Rhinolophus ferrumequinum: one gene and its partner. The protein of the gene in region 2 interacts with the protein of the main gene of each other region in a biochemical or structural test. Links are inferred from orthologs where the notes say so. Each region holds a gene or a part of one and is shown on either strand. Other genes may lie near its edges.

Evidence for each region.
Region 1: of the proteins of PDGFRB (region 2) and PTPRJ, one has a biochemical effect on the other in vitro, tested with the Homo sapiens proteins (2 studies listed by IntAct). The link is inferred for Rhinolophus ferrumequinum from reciprocal best matches to the Homo sapiens genes PDGFRB and PTPRJ.

What each region holds. Positions count from the first base shown.
Region 1 is NC_046294.1:13,428,308-13,435,787, forward strand, and holds the start of PTPRJ (receptor-type tyrosine-protein phosphatase eta), read right to left. Parts: upstream 3,002-7,480; 5' UTR 2,836-3,001; coding exon 2,575-2,835; intron 1-2,574. UniProt on the Homo sapiens protein: Tyrosine phosphatase which dephosphorylates or contributes to the dephosphorylation of CTNND1, FLT3, PDGFRB, MET, KDR, LYN, SRC, MAPK1, MAPK3, EGFR, TJP1, OCLN, PIK3R1 and PIK3R2. Plays a role in cell adhesion, migration, proliferation and differentiation.
Region 2 is NC_046307.1:22,396,375-22,404,324, reverse strand, and holds the start of PDGFRB (platelet-derived growth factor receptor beta), read left to right. Parts: upstream 1-4,939; 5' UTR 4,940-5,400; intron 5,401-7,800; 5' UTR 7,801-7,950. UniProt on the Homo sapiens protein: Tyrosine-protein kinase that acts as a cell-surface receptor for homodimeric PDGFB and PDGFD and for heterodimers formed by PDGFA and PDGFB, and plays an essential role in the regulation of embryonic development, cell proliferation, survival, differentiation, chemotaxis and migration.

The DNA.
Region 1 (7,480 bases), on a different chromosome or scaffold from region 2:
AACCAGCAAAGTCTTCAGGCTGGAATCATCTCGGACCATCCTTCCTGTCTTGTGAAATGACAAAAAAAAAAGTGGAATGAGACGCCAGGTTCAAAAACTGCTGTTCCAGCCCTACGAAGCAATGAGTCCTCCTGCATCTCAGCTTTCCAACACCAGTCCTCATTTAATGCCCAAACAGAGCTGTGACTTCTCTGTGACTTGTCTGTGTTTTTAACCTGCTACAATTGATACCATTTTAAATCTCTCTCTCTCTCTCTCTCTCTCTCTCTCTCTCTCCCCAAGCCTCACAAAACCAGTCATGTGTCAGGGAGGTAGTCAGATACCTTCAACCACATTTCCTAACACACAAGCTTTGAAAATCTTGAATATGACTTCCAATCTCAAATATGATTTGATGTTGAAAAATTCAAGTTATACCCACAGTTTCAGGAGTACACACAGTGAGGCAGGACTGTACCTATAGTTAAAAAAGAGCAAAGTGAAAATATGGCACACACACAAAAGCATCAGGAAAATACGAGGCCCAGGCAGGAAGGAGACACGGATTCCAGTTCTGGAGAGCCTACTGTCTTGCCAGGGGATCTCGGCCTGATCACTGTCTTCTCTGGGCTTCAATATCCTCATCTAAAAGAAATGAGGGGTTTCGGCTATCTTGAAAATCTATTCCAGATGAAAATGCACTGATTCCTTGAAATAGCCAATATAAAGATGAACTGATAAATATGAATTTTGAAGATGCTTTTTCAGAGAGCCCTTTAGATTTCTTACTTTATAACATAGCCAAAAAACAAGAAATATAGAGAGTCTTCTTGCATTTCTACAGAACAAATTAGAGAGGAAGGAAACATCTGAATAGGGGACAAGTGTGGAGTGGCAATATGCTACTGAAATACAAGGAAGGATTGGGCAAGAAATAAATTTACCCAAGAAATTTTTCGCTGATTCAAAGCATAGCTAGCAACCACCACGAGACCAAAGCAAGAAAATTAATAATGCAATATAATAAAATATACACGTACTAAATTAAAAATAAGTGAAGATCAAGTATTTCTTTAGGGTAGACTTTGGTGCAAGAGAGCTTCAATTATGAGGCCTTTTTTTTTTTTTAATTTCAGAGACTGCTCTCCACGAATTTCCTTACAAGAACAGGGAGAAAGCAGTCATACACACTGTACCTTCATAATAATCCCATCTGGACACCCTGTAATGTTTACAAAACTCGTTCAGACATTAGCCAGGGGAAGCCCCAAACAATCCATGGGGCAGGTGGTTGTACACTCATCCTCCGAATGCCATTACCTGAGGACGGAGGGAGCTGGAGAGCCAGTCCAGCCCTGAATCCAGCCCTGAAGTCTGGCCCTGGAGCTTCTTCTGACACCTGACCTGATTCACTCTTCTCTGTTGCAGGTCACACTGCCTCCCAGGTCCTCAGGAGAGCCTGTTCAAAGCCTGCTGAGGACAACTGTGAAGGGACATGAGCACCCTCTGCTCCTCATCCTGCCTACTGGGCTGTATCGCTGCCCCAAGGCCGATGTTTCTGTTCCCAGACAATCATGTTTTCCTGAAAAGTTTTCCCTGAAACCAAGTTCCATCCTCAGACAATAACTCACTTCCCAGGTTTCAAACATCACCTCCTGAGGGATGCTCTCTGTATAAAACAAGCAACATTTTCATACACAGCAGGGTATCACCAAGGACCTTTCCACTGCGGGTTCAAGACCCGAACGGGCTCCTAGAAGGCTGTGAGGACGAACCCGCGGCCAGGACTGGGTGCTTCTGCTCTTTCACTTCTCTCCCTCAAGTTCCCTATCTGTGAAGTGGGACCGTCTCCCCGCTGCCCAGCCCCTCCCCCCAGCGGGAATACCACCAAGGGGGAACGGCGCTTTCAGAAAGCTCGGTCACCAAAACGCCAGGCGCAGCATTATCTGAAAAAGCGAAGCGAGAACACAGGGCGGTGGGGGGAGAGCCGGCGCCCACCAAGCACGAAATAAACCCCCAGGGAAGCGAGCGACTTCCCCGGGAAGAGGACGGTCCGCTGGAAGGACGCCGGCGAGTGGCCCCCTCTCCCCGGGTGGGAACTTTCCCCAAAAGCGGTGCCCTCGGCCCGGAGGCCCCGCGCCTCGACCTCCGCCCGGCGGCCCTGCCCGCTCCCCGGCCGCCGCCGCTGCCCTTCGGCCCGGCCCCTCGGGCCCTGCAGGCCGGGTTGGCCCCGCTCCGTGCCGGGCGCCCTCGGCACACACGCCCCCTCCGGCCGCTTCGGGCGGGAGAGCCGGGCCGGCCAGACGGGACCAGCTCCGGGAAGGGCGGGCCAGAGATGGCCTGGAGCCCGCGGGGGCTTCCACGGGAAAGCTCGGGCACCACGTAGCCCGCCGGCCGCCCTATGGTGCGGGGCAGCCGAGTAAGGGGCTCGGTCGCGAGGCAGGCCGGGTTCCCGCGAGCCCTCCAGGAGGGGGCTCCGAGGACTCCGGCCCTCGCCACCCCTCCGAACCCCGCAGGCGGGCACCGCGGGCAGGTGCCGGGGATGCCAGTCCCGCCCCGCCCTCCCTCCCTCCGGCTGGGCCCCCTGCTGCTCACCTGGCCCAAGCGACACAGCAGCAGCAACGGCGGCAGCGCCCAGCGAAGCCGGGGCAAGCGCCGAGGTGGCCGCGCCTCCCGCGCCGCCGGCTTCATGCCCCGCGCGCCCTGGAACGTGCCCGGGCCGCGCGAGTCGGGCCCCGCCGTGCGCCCGATCCCGGGCGCCCTGCTCACCGCCTCCAGCCGCCGCCTCCGCCTGCGCCTCCTCCAGCCAGTCCGCCTAGTCCCCGCTCCGCCCGCCCCGGGCTTCCCCGGGGACATGGCAGCGGCGGCGGCCACACGGCGGGGCCCGGCGCGGCGGCCGCGGGGGAGATACGTCCCTGGGCGAGCAGGGGCTTCGCGGGGCGGAGCAAGCGGCGCCCACCCCCTGTGCGCGGCGCCCGGATCGCGTCTCCCGCGGCCCCGGCGGCTCCCGCTGCCTCCTCCGCGCGTCATGCGGCTCCGGCTGCAGGGAGCCGCGGCGAGCGCTCCCGCCCTCCCTTCCCCTCCCCCTCTGAATATTCATCGCTTCCTCCCGCCCCGCCGGCCCGGCGGCGGCCGAGCCCCGCGGCCCCTCGCCGCCCTCCGCTGCAGCCCCCGCCCCCGCCCCGCGCGCGCCCTGGCAGCTCCCCTCCCGCGGGCAGAGGAAGCGCCCCCGCCTAGCCGCCCTCTCCGCCAGGCCCTCCCACATTCCTGGGACTTGGGACCCGGGACGCAGCTCCGCTACTCTCGCACCTCGAGCCCGCACCCCTCGGTACGGGCGCCCCAGCCTCGGGCCCGCTCCATGGCCTCGGGTTTGGGTCACCAGATATTAACCGAAATCCCTGCCGAGGGCACAGCCAGGCCGGCGTGAATACAGCAACCCCGCGAAGGCCTGGTTGACCCAGCTTGTGGGTGGGCTTTGGGTGCTTGAACCCCTATATTATAGGAGATATGTGTCGTGTTCTCCCCGCCCCCAGCGCCAAGCTAGGGAAGCAGAGAAGTGGCGTTGGAGCGGGTCCTGGGATTAGGACACCCGCTCTAGTATATGGTACACCTGGCTCTGCTAGTACTACTCGCTGTGTGATATCTTTTCCTCATCTGTGAAATAAAGGTCATACGAGTACCGGGCTAGAGAGACTTGAACTATCACATGAGATAATGAGAGGAAAAGTCCTAACCATCAGTCCTGACACAGAGTGGGCCTCAATAAACGTTAGCTCTTCTGGCAGCTTTCATCACATACTCAAAGAAGTCCAGGACCCTAAGGGGTTAAAGATTCCTGCAGATGTTACTATTATGCCCATTCACAGAGGAAGGAACTAAGGACCTGGGAGGCTGAGCCAGTTGCCCAAGGAAAAGTAATGAGAGATAAGGCCAAACCAAAGGGTGCTGGGGAGGGAGAGATGAATTCCAACCAGGGGGAGAGATGACACCTGAGCTGGGCTTTGAAGGATGGGTTGAATTTCACCAGGCAGATTGAGGGGGGCAACATGTCAGGAAGTGGGAGCAACAGGCAAAAAAATGGCAGATGGATGTTTCAGGCTTGGCCTTCTGAAAAACAGGGAGTGGGAGTTTGAGGGGGGCTCATATTTAGGGGAGACTTTGAAAGCCAGCATAACGAGTCTGAGCTGGATTCTATGTGCAGCCAGATGACCAACACTGCCTCCAGACACCACAGTAGCTCAGGTTCCCCATCTGGGCTATGGGGATGTACCTTCACTTAGAGGGTCTAAGTGGCTCCTACCAGACCACACACCCAAGTCAGCGGAGAAGGTAAGGAGACCTCAAGCTGTTGACTTCTACACCTTGCCATCATTTGTTTAAATATGATGGAATTATAATTCACAAGGAATTCTGATCTTTCTTGCCTCCTCTCCTTCTTGGGCAGAGACAGGTGGTTTGAAAGGCGTTCATATCCACGATGCCCAGAAGGAAGGAAAGGCAGTACGGCGGGTACTGCCATGTCTGCCCCGATACTCAGACCCTACAGACCCTATAGATCCATCCAGGCTTCCATGGCTTCTTGGCTTGGGTCTGCGAACCACTCTGTAAACTTCAGCGTGCACTTCTATTTTCTCCTAGATGAAATGTATACCAGTGCTGAAGTCTTGTTTGGAACCGGATTTCTCCACCACATGGTGATGAAAGAGAATAAACAGCCTTTTCAATAAAAGGAGTTAAGACCTGAATAGTAAACTACCTGTTCATAAACAGATCACACTGGATTAATGACCTAGATGAGAAAAGAAGTTAATCCCGGGAAGGTGTGGTGAAAACTCCCTGAGGGCAGGGATTGCGCCTGTCTCCCCATGGGTACCCGGCCTCACCTCACTCTGTGCCTTGCCCCTAGATATTTATGCCATCGCGTGCTTGTATAAATACATCCAGGGGTAACATGATATGAAAGTTCATTTTTCTGCCAGGATAAATTAAGGAAGAATCATTCACTTTGCAAAAAAATTGAGGCTAGATTTCAGTTTATAGGTCTCTTGCACAGATGCTACTTCCCCTGGAACTTCCCAGATGCCCCAATCGTGTGTTGGGTGCACTTCCCACTCCATGTGCTCCTAGCTCCCTGTGCAAAACGTATCTACCCGCAGTGTTGTAATTGCCTGTTTACTTGACCATCTTCCTCCCTGGACTCTAAGTAAGCCCCTTGAAGATGAGGCCTGCATCTTATCACTGCATGCCCGGCACATAACAGTCACTCCAACAATATTTATGTAGTTGAATTGAATACATTCCTCTGAATTGCAAACTAAGGTATTATATACATGCCAGTACACACACAAACACTCACAAACACACACACACACACACACACACCCCAAATTCCATTTGCAAACAGCTTTTCAGGGATAAATCTACTGTGCAAAGTTCAGGGCACATTGTCTTTGAGAATATATAATAATATTTGGCCTTTTAATCATGTCCACCTTCAGCAAAAGCTAGATCTTTTACGGAATGTAGGACCAAGTGCATAAAAAACAAAAGAGCCAAACCAAGAGGTTGGAGTGGAAGGTTCCTGGACGTGTTCCAAAAGTGCCTGACGGGAATCACCTGGTGCCTTGTTGTAATACAGATTCCCATGCCTTTCCATAGACTGTGGAGGATAAGGCCTGGGAATCTGTATCTTTAACCAGCTCCTTGGGTCATTCTTGCTGTCAAGCAAGATTGGAAAACACTGTTCATGCCATGACTGGCCTGCATTGTGTCCCTAGCAGCAACAAAGACCATTGATAAGGTACCCAGGTGCCCGGCACTACACTAGATACTTTACATCCATTATTTCTACTCCTTACAACAACCCTGTAGAATAGGTATCATTATATCAACATTTTACAAACAAGAAAACTGAGGCTCAGAGAGTTTTAGTTACTGACACAAGGTCACACAGCTTAAGAGTGGCAAAACCGGGATGAAACCATGTCTTTCTTGCCATTTTGCCATAGGGACCCCCACCTGACATTTGTAGATAAGTTTGTATAAAGTCCTCTATGTATTGGCTGTTATTATTACCTTTATTATTACTCTCCTGAGCCTCAGTTTTCCCAATTTTAAAATGGGAAGGGACAGAGGGTACAAGACTTTCTACTTCATTGTCCAAGAACTGGGAACAGGCAAGCAGCCATGTTTAATGGCACGTCCACCATCCCACCAGGAGGTAAACCTTGAGGCACCAGCCTGGAACCAGGTCACCAGCCCCACAGGGAGTCCATTCAGCTTGGCAACCCTCAGTTTATTTTAAAAGCCACCATTAGCAAACCATTCTCCAAAGTCCTCCTAAGCAGAATGGAATGTTTCTTGGGAGTCTGATTAGCTAATGTTGCAGGCATGGCTGCCCTGAGACCTTCCTGCCTCACAGATTTGAACTGAATCAGAATGAAAAGGAAGACTTTTAGAAAGTTCTTTAAAAAAAAAAAAAATAGCACTTCATCTTTATAATAGTAACAGGATGTTTCCTGTGGACTAATAACTGGGCTGTGGTTAGAGTTCCATGTTTGTCCACCAGACCTCAGTTCCTCCCTAAACAGAGCCTTAATCACCTGCCCTGCAGAGTCAGGGAGTGTCTTAGCTGTGCCTTTCCAGTTTCTTTCTTTAAACACTTGCAACATTAAGCATTTTCCTAATTTGTATGGGTGTGTGTGTGTGTGTGTGTGTGTGTGTGTGTGTGTGTGAGATAGGAAAGAGTTTGACTTACAAAGAAACAGTGGCATGTGACAGATTTTCAGTGCAGGAAAGAAAGCCCATTATTGTAGCCAACTCAGGGTCTGGAGAACAGAAACAGAACCATTGCCCTCAGAAGTCCCCACCCTTTCTCCAAGTTTAGGCGCCCACAGGGATGAGCCCACTGGCCGCTGTGCTCACGGCTGTTAGGTAGGTCTGCAGTCAAGGTCCCAGTGAACATGCAGGTACCTTCGTGTTCTGGCAGGACAGACCCAGGACCTCTGTCATAGGGCACCTGGAAACACAGGGAGTACGTGACAAAGAGACTTGGGTCCTAGGGGACAAGGGGCTTTTGTCCAGGGCTTGAGAATGACTTCTGCACAAAGACCAGAAGTGGCAAGAGGAGGAACAGGAGGCAGTCAAGCCTGCAACAGAAACATCACCTCGAACAAAGAAACGGCTGAGAGGTGTAAGGACAAGAGGGAGAGTTAGCAGGAGGCCCGGAGTCCCAGGGCTTCTCGGCGGCTGAGTCCTTCCAGGCTTGTTAAAAATAAATTAATTTTGTTCAGGTTGAAAAGAAATGTTGTTTTTTTTTTTTCAGGTTGAAAAAAAAAATCTTAATCACATTGTGCTGGATATATAGACCACCTGGGTAAGAAATTAGGGTAAGACATCAACTTGCAACGATTGTGTAGTGGAATCTCACTAGTAGGGAAGAACATACCCTGCAATCTAAATAAGCAAATAAAAAATCATATGTGGCAATACAGTTACATTA
Region 2 (7,950 bases):
CACCCCACACACTTGCACACTGCCGCTTAGGGAGCAGAGGGGACAAAATGTAATTATCCAAAGAAGCACTGTGTCTGACAGGAGATAGAGAATCCAGGGAAGGAAAGGAAAGTCACACAGTGAGTCAGTGGTCGAGCACGGGCTGGGGCCCGGAAGTTCCAGCTCCCTGTCAGGTGCATTCCTGTAGACTCTCAGATGGAGAGTGTTGCCCCTGTTAGCCCGTTCTCCACCTCAGTGACCTGATCTCATTAGTCACCTGTTCAAAATGCTGGAGTGGTCCCTCCCGACCCTCCAAATAAAAGCCAGAGTCCTCTTGGGCCCACAGGCCCTGACACCTGGCCCCTGACTACCTCTCCTGCCTGTACCCCACCATGTCCCCTCTCTGGGCTTCAACCATTCTTTTCTTTCTGTTCAAGCACACCAAGCTCTTTCTGGCCTCCACTCTTTTGCAGATGCTCTTTCCTTTACCTAGAACACTGTTCCTGTCCCAGCATTGTGTGTGGCCTCTTAACCTGGGGTGTCAGTAGAAGTAGTCCTTCCCTAGAGAAGCCTTAGTCTACCTAAACAAGAATGCCCATCTACCCAGCCCATTGTTCTCTTCCTTTCGTGATATATCACAATTTGTTATTATTCATTTGTGGTTTCCTTGGTGTTTGCTTGTGAGCTCTAGCAGGGCAGGGCCCATAGTAGGTGCTCAGTGAACTTCTGCTGCGTGGAGAAATGGTGCCAAGAACAGGACGGCCTGGGAGTCAGCGTCAGAGGCCTCATTCCAGACTTGCTATGTGCTCCTGAGCAAGTTCTGGCCTTCTCTGGGACCCAGTGTGTCTGGTGTGGAGAGATTTGTGGCTTCAGAGGGTCCTGCTGTTGTGATGATCCTTGAGCCATCTGTGTACCAGAAGGGGCACTGAGGCTGTGTTCCCTGGGGCGCTGAGGCTGAGGCCAGCTGGAGGCTGGGGACAGGCCGAGGTAGGTAGAGTCTCGAAGCCCTTATCTCCTGAGACCCTGTCAGGTCTTGGTGGCACAGTCTGGTCCAGTAAGAGCAGTCCTAGTTATCTAGGGCAGGAATGTGGCCTAAAGGCCCGCATTAGTCCCTCTGCCCAACTCGACAACCAGCCACTATGCTGAGTGTCCAGGAGGGGAAGGGCAATTCCCACTGTGGGCCTCTTCTAGCTCCCCGGCTGCAAGTACAAGGACCTACCTGCTCAGGGTGTACAGGGTGGAAGGATACTGAGCTGGGGGCCAGGAGTCCTGCTAACTTTTCTCTCTCTGCTAACCTTGGGCAAGTCCCCTCTGTTCCCTAGGCCTCAGTTTCCATGCCTGTATAATGAACTCACTCTTAGGACTCTTCTGACCATGACTGTGCTGATGGTGCCTGGGTAGACGTGTGCTGCTTCCTCGGCCTGAGCCTGGGGAGCCTGGGGGTGGAGGGGCCAGTCCCGGGAGCGTGGGAGAGCCAGATGTGGTGGCCGCTGGCCCTGCCTGAGTGAGAACTGAGCCGGCCTACTGGGAATTCTCCCACTCAGGCGCCCTTTCAGGACCCCTTCTCCCCCCACACCCACCCCACTGAGAACTGTGGCTTCCGGCTCTGTCAGGCGTGGGTGGGGGGCTGGGGGGTGGTTTCGTTCAGCCTGGTTCCCTCCTTCAGGAAGCGCATGGGCCTGAGAGTCTAGACAAAAACTTCAGTTCCAGTCCTGGTCTTGCAGTCATTTTCCATCACTGGGCCTCAGTCATCCTGGCTGTACAATGAGGGGTGGGCTGAGCTTTCCTCCTGCCCTGATGGAGGGCTGCTATGACAGCGGCTCCCAGAGACACCTGAGACTCCGTCACCTGTTGTGGATCTTTTTGCTCTGCTGCATTCCTTGTATAAAATGCCTTCTGTGCATCACTTATTTAGGCCTCTCAACAACTCTGTGAGGTAAGCACATGTATCCCCATTTTATAGCTGAAAACACTGAGGCTGAGAGAGCTCAGATCATGTAATTTGTCCAGGACCCACAGCGAGGAAGAGGCAGAGCTGGGTCGGAACTACAGACATCAGAGCTCAGCTTGAACGTGCCGCTACACAGTGGGGAGGAAGTGCTGGACCCCAAGGCACAGAGCTCCGCTCTGCCTCTGCACCATATCCCACTCTACGTCAGGCAGGACTCCCACACTCCACGCCATGCCCACCCACTCTCAGCCCAGCCTCCTCCAACACAGGATTGTTTGAGGCCGGACCAGGCTCCCGGCATCTGGGCAGGTGGGAGACTGTTCATGGCTCCTCCTGGCCATGCCAGAGCAGAGGTGCTGCACTGCCCACTGCCCACCCCTTCAAAGTGCACAGGGGGAAATGAGGTCCAGAGAAGGAGGGCTCAGCCCAGGGGCACACAGTGATGGGGTGCTGCTGGAATGAAACCCACTATTTCAATCCTACACTTCCAGACACTGTACTGAGTAAGCCCTTTAAGTGCATTACATATGGCAACAGTTCTACGAATCATTCCTCAAATTATCCATTTTCCAGAGGAGAAAACTGAGGCTCAGAAGCTTAAATGACTTACTTGCCCAAGGTCACGTAGCTTGGAACTACAGAAGCTAGGATTTGAACCCAGCTCTGTCTCTGGTTCTCAAACCTGCCCTGTCAGTCATGACCCTTCTGTCTCACCCGTCCCGCCCTCGGAGAATGCCCTGTTGTGTTCCACATGGCTCTGCACCCCCCCAGCCCCATCTCAGCTAAAAGGAGGTGTAACAGCACTGGTGTCTGCCAAGGGTTAATGGTAGTAGGGGCTAAGTGATTCCAGATGGGCCAGCCGGAAGATTGGGCTGGCCGGAAACTGGCGGCCGCCAGCTTCCCGGGGGAGCCACCACCAGCCACCCCCGCCCCTCTGCTGCATCTCTGGCCCCCAGCTGTCCCCTTGCCCTGGGGCCCACCAGCCTCCTCTTCCTAGCCAGAGTCCAACTCTAAGGAACTTGCAGACAGAGCATCCCAAGGGCCTTCCAGCACAGTGAATCCTCCCATGTGTTATGGGGATGGGGAAACTGAGGCTCAGGGAGGACAAATACCTATCCAAGGCCACACAACAAGTCCACAGCTGGGTCTCCTGACTCCCAGACTAGCTTTTGGAAGGACTAGGGATTGCAATGCCTCCTTGCTGTCACAGAGCTGTCTTAGTCCCAGCAGTTGGGCCAAGACTTTGGAGGTGAATGACCAAAGCAAATGCTAGGAAGGGACTTATAAACACCAAAGGAGTTTTGGGCACAAGAAATCCCTATATGGCCTGACCCTCTGGGTTCGGAGTCCCCCGTATTCCCCTATGACTTTGCTGCTACCAAGCTGGGCCAGCCCCTCTTTTGGGAGGCTCTCATGGCCCCCACCCCTTGCTCTGGGGCCAGTCTGAGAACCGTTATCCCTCTGTGTGGCCCAGCCCAGTTGCTCTGCTGTGCAGTCCCCAGGACAAGACCAAGAAATGACTGCCAAGAGAGGTTACTGTGGTTAGCATGAAATCCCAGCTCAAGCAAACCCCCTGCCCTGTGAACAAGGCCCTGGGGGAGGCAAAGATAGAGGCAAAGAAGGGCAAAGACAGAAGAGCAGAGGGCAGGATGGAAGGAGCCCTGAGAAGAGTCAGGCTCTGTCCATGTGACCTGGGATACCTTTCTGTCCCTCTCTGGGACTCAGTTTCCCGTGTGTACAGTAGTGGGAGCCAGGGGTAACTCACCACTCTTAAGTCCTTTTAAAATGATGCTGTGTGGCGTGTAGGGGCCAAGAGTTTGTGGCTAGCGACACCTTTTGATCTGAGGACATGAGGAGGGGTGGAGTGAGGGATGAGGGTCTGGCCGGGGTCCTGGAGGAGATCCTGGTGGGGAGGGAGGGCAGGAGGGTAGAAATGGACCCTAACAGGTACTCGGAAACACCTGTTGAGTGACTGAATGAGAGACGGGAAAAGGGATAACCTAGGAAGAAGGCAGGATAGCAGGGCCAGTCTATACTGTAATGTGGTCCTTCCCTTGTCTGTTCCACCGTGCCACACGTGAGACCCAATTCTGCTCCAATTCTGACATTGCTGTGTGAGCTTGGGAAACTCATTTCACTCCTCTGGGCTTCAATCGCCTCATCTATAAAATGGGGAAATAACCCTTTCCTGGGGTTCCAGGGGCTTTAAGATGATAGAAAGGGATATGTCTGGAAACCTGAAGTATGCTTAGTGACCTTGGGCAAGTCTCTTTTCCTCTCTGAACCAGTTCACCGCTGGGCCTTGGTTTCTTCTTCTGCGAAGTGGCTGATAATCTTGGAAGGTCTTTCCATCTCTTCTAAGTCAGCTCTTCTCAGAAGTCCTCTCTGATTCCCTCCACCCTCAGTCAGCTGACCCTCTAGCTCCACTCTCAGATGCCTGCCTCCTCTCAAGTGCCTACCTGTGCACCGTCTGTCTCTCCCACCGGCCTGGGCACTTGTGAGGTCAGGGACTGTGTCTTACTCACTCTGCATCCCCAACACCCAGTGCAGTGTCTAGTAGGTGCTCAACATGCTGTTCAATGAATGAATGTTGACTGAATCAACTGTATAAGGGATCAGACCTCCCCTTACAGATGGAGAAACTGAGGCACAGAGAAGGGACCTGCTCCCAGGTGCCACGGTAAGTGGAGGCTGCTACCTGAGATGGGCATCAGTGGAGTGGGGCTGGGGCACTCTTTAATAAAAGTGACTCAGCGTCTGGCGTGGGCTGTGGAATTTCTAAACATCCCCTCACATCCTGAGAGAGCAGGCGACGGGAGGGAGCAAGCAGAGGGAAAAGAGGAAGAAAAACAAGAAACTTGGGGGGAAAGAAAGAGAGAGGGAAAAAAGCTGAAATTGAAAACAGACGCACGCGTCCACCCTCCCCGCCCCACCGCCCCCCTTCTCTCAGCTGGGCCAATCAGAGGCTGCCCTGCAGCCTTTCCCCCAAAGTAGGGGGGGCAGGGAAGCCGGCAGTGGTGTGAGCGTTGGGGGCTGCCAGAAGCCCGCAGTCCCTGCCCGCCCGCCCCGTCTGGGACCCAGGATCGCTCTCTGAGCAACTTGGAGTGGGAGAGGAGGAGGACGAGAAGGAAAGCGCTGGGGCCGCTCTGACCAGCACTGCAGGGCAGCAGCCAGTGCGGAGCGACACAGACAGCCAGACCCAGGGCGGCCCCTCCTGGCAACCCTGCTCCTCCCGAAGGATGCCTTGGGCGTGAGGCCACTCCTCACCCCTGCAGCCCCCCACTTCCTCCCCTCTCCCAAGGCTCCGGGAACCTACCACGGTCCTTTCTGCTCTCCTATCTAGCTGTTGCCCCCATTTCGGGCCGGCAAAGACTCTCTGATAACAGGAGAGGCAGTGAGGAGGACTTCCTGGAGGGGGTGACAGCCCAGAGCCCGGGACCTTGTGCACATCAAAAGGTATCAGCAGCAAGGTAAGTGCTTGTAGAGGGGTGATCCCCAACTCCTTGTCCTGTCCCCAACTCCAGCCTGTGCCTTCTTGGATAGGTCAAAAATGGAAAATATTTTTAACAAAACCAGATGGGAGGAGGCTGGAGGCTATGGGCGGGGGACATCAGCGGCGCTGGAGGGACTAGATTTTTCCTCTCTCGTGCTCAGTCCGCGTCTGGGGAGGGTGGCCCCAGCCTCCTCAACCCTGCTGCCCCCTGCCCTCATCAAACAAACCCCAGAGGTTTCTGGGTGCTGAGTGGGGGCCTCCAAAGCACAGCAGTGCCTATGGGGGATGGGGCGAGTAGGGAGGAGCATGAGAAGGAAATTGGGAGATGGCAAGCAGGGCACACCAGAACGGGATCTAGCAGGGGCCAGGGAACCTCAGAGCCATAACCCCTGTCCCTGGACCTAAGCCTTGTCCCTACGAATCTGTCTGGCTCTAGGCCAGTGGCCGCCAGGCAACCTCTGGGGATTTAAATGGATTTGCAAATTTTCCAGATTCCTAAGATGTCCTTCCAAACCCCCAGCGGCTGGGAAAGTGCAAAGGCGAGGGGGCTGGCACTTGGCAGGCCATGTTCAGGCAACTAGGGCTGGGGGTCTTGGACCCTGCTGGCCATCAGATCTGGGGGCCCCTCTGTGAAGAAGGGGGGTGGGCCGCTGGGCCCTTTCTCCTGGTCCCAGGCAGCTGCTCAGGCCTCCTGGCTGTCTCCTTCCTTCTGGACGCTGCCCCTTCTCCACTCTATCCTAAAACATGAATTGGACCAGGATTCTTTCTGTGACTCTCCCAAGTAGAAAGCCCAAACTCCTAACCGCGCTGCCACTGATTGACACTTACTGCATGCCAGGACGGTGTGGAGAGCTTTGTAAGTGTGATTTCGCGTACCACTCACCAGCAACTCCAGAGGCAGGGACTGATTTTACGCCTGCCTTATGGGTGGGGAAACTGAGGCTCACAGCAGCCACAAAACTGTCCCACACAGGAAGGAAGTGGCAAAGCATGGGGAGGTAGTGCTCTCCTTGCCCCATCACTCCACACTTGGTCCTGTGGTCCTATTCCTTCCAGTCAGAGCCCAGGATTCCCAGAAGGAATTTGCATAATCCTGTCTGTGGACTCGTTCTTCCTCATCACTTCCACTTTCCCTTCAAGGATTCTCCCTATTTCACCTCCTCCAAGCAGCCTCCCAGGTTCTCCAAGTGCTCGCTGTGCCCTTTGTGCTGGAGGCTTGTTGCTTGGCCCTGTCTTGCTAGTCGTGTTCTGTTTGCACATCAGTGGTTGATCAGGCCCCTAGCTTCCCCATCTTGTGTTCTGTCCCCAATTTCCCCAGGTGGGCAATAGGGCTGAGAAAATGTGCTGGGGAAAGGGAGGAGGGACTCACTGAGGACTTTCTGTTCCCAAGTGTGAGACGAGAACCCAGGCCTTCTGTCTTCCCTCAGAGGCCCTTCCAGAACATCGTGCGGTTCTTCCTGAATGCATTTTTTTATGTCAAACAGGGAAGAGTGTCCCTGCCTGCCTCTGTGATCCCAAGGTGCACAGAGGCCTCTAGCGTGATCTTCTGAAGTTAAGAGTCCTCCCCTGCCTCCAATCTGGAGGTCCCCGAATCCACGACACTTGTTGGTCATTGTCACTGAGTGCTGACTCTGTGCCAGGTGCAGAGCCTGGGACCTCACATGCCTTGGAATCCCCACAGCAGCTCTTTGGAATCAGCATGATTCCCCCTGCTTTGCAGACAAAAAAACAGAGGCTCAGAGAAGCTAAGTGACTTTCCCAGGGTCACACAGTAGAGGTGGTATTTAGGCCCCCGGTCTGCCTGGTCCTAGGGGAGCATATCTCCATCCGCCCACATAGCCTGCGCCTGCCTCTAGCATGGTCCGAAGCAGAAGGTTCAGCAGCAGCCTGACCTGCTCCTGGGTCTGCCCGACCCTGGCTCCGTCTGGAGTGGGGAAGAAACCCACCTGGTCCGCATCCTCCCCTCCCCCATGCTCAGGCAGCCCTCCCTCCTCTGTGGGAAGAAGAGTTGAGACTTGTAATTGCCCACAGATGTGGGGCAGTGGAAAGCACCGTGGATTCAGAGTCAGGAGAGCTGGCGCTTGCCCTGGCTTAATTCAAATCCACTGTGTGGCCAGCCTCAGACCCCCACTTGTTCTTTCTGGGCTGCCTCCGCATCTGGAGGGCAGTGGGCACCGTGGGTAAACAACACCAGGTCTGAGTGTCAGTTGGCCATGCGTTAACCCCCGAGTTGACTTCTGCCTGACTGTGTGACCCTGGGCTACTGCTCTGCTCCTCTGGGCATCAGCTCTCAGCTCCGTGAGCGGCAGGGCGATATGTGGGTCCCATGAGATAACAGGGTAGGTCAGACGCTTAGCACAGTCCCTGCATTTCACAGACAGGACCTGATACCATTGGCTAAGAGAGGGCCGCTGCTCTCCCGCCTCCTGCACAGGACACTTGGCTGTGAAATTGGTCTGCAACCCGTAAAGGACCATGCCCATGGAAGGGGCCTGGCCAACGTGCGTATTCTAAAGGCTCACTTCCA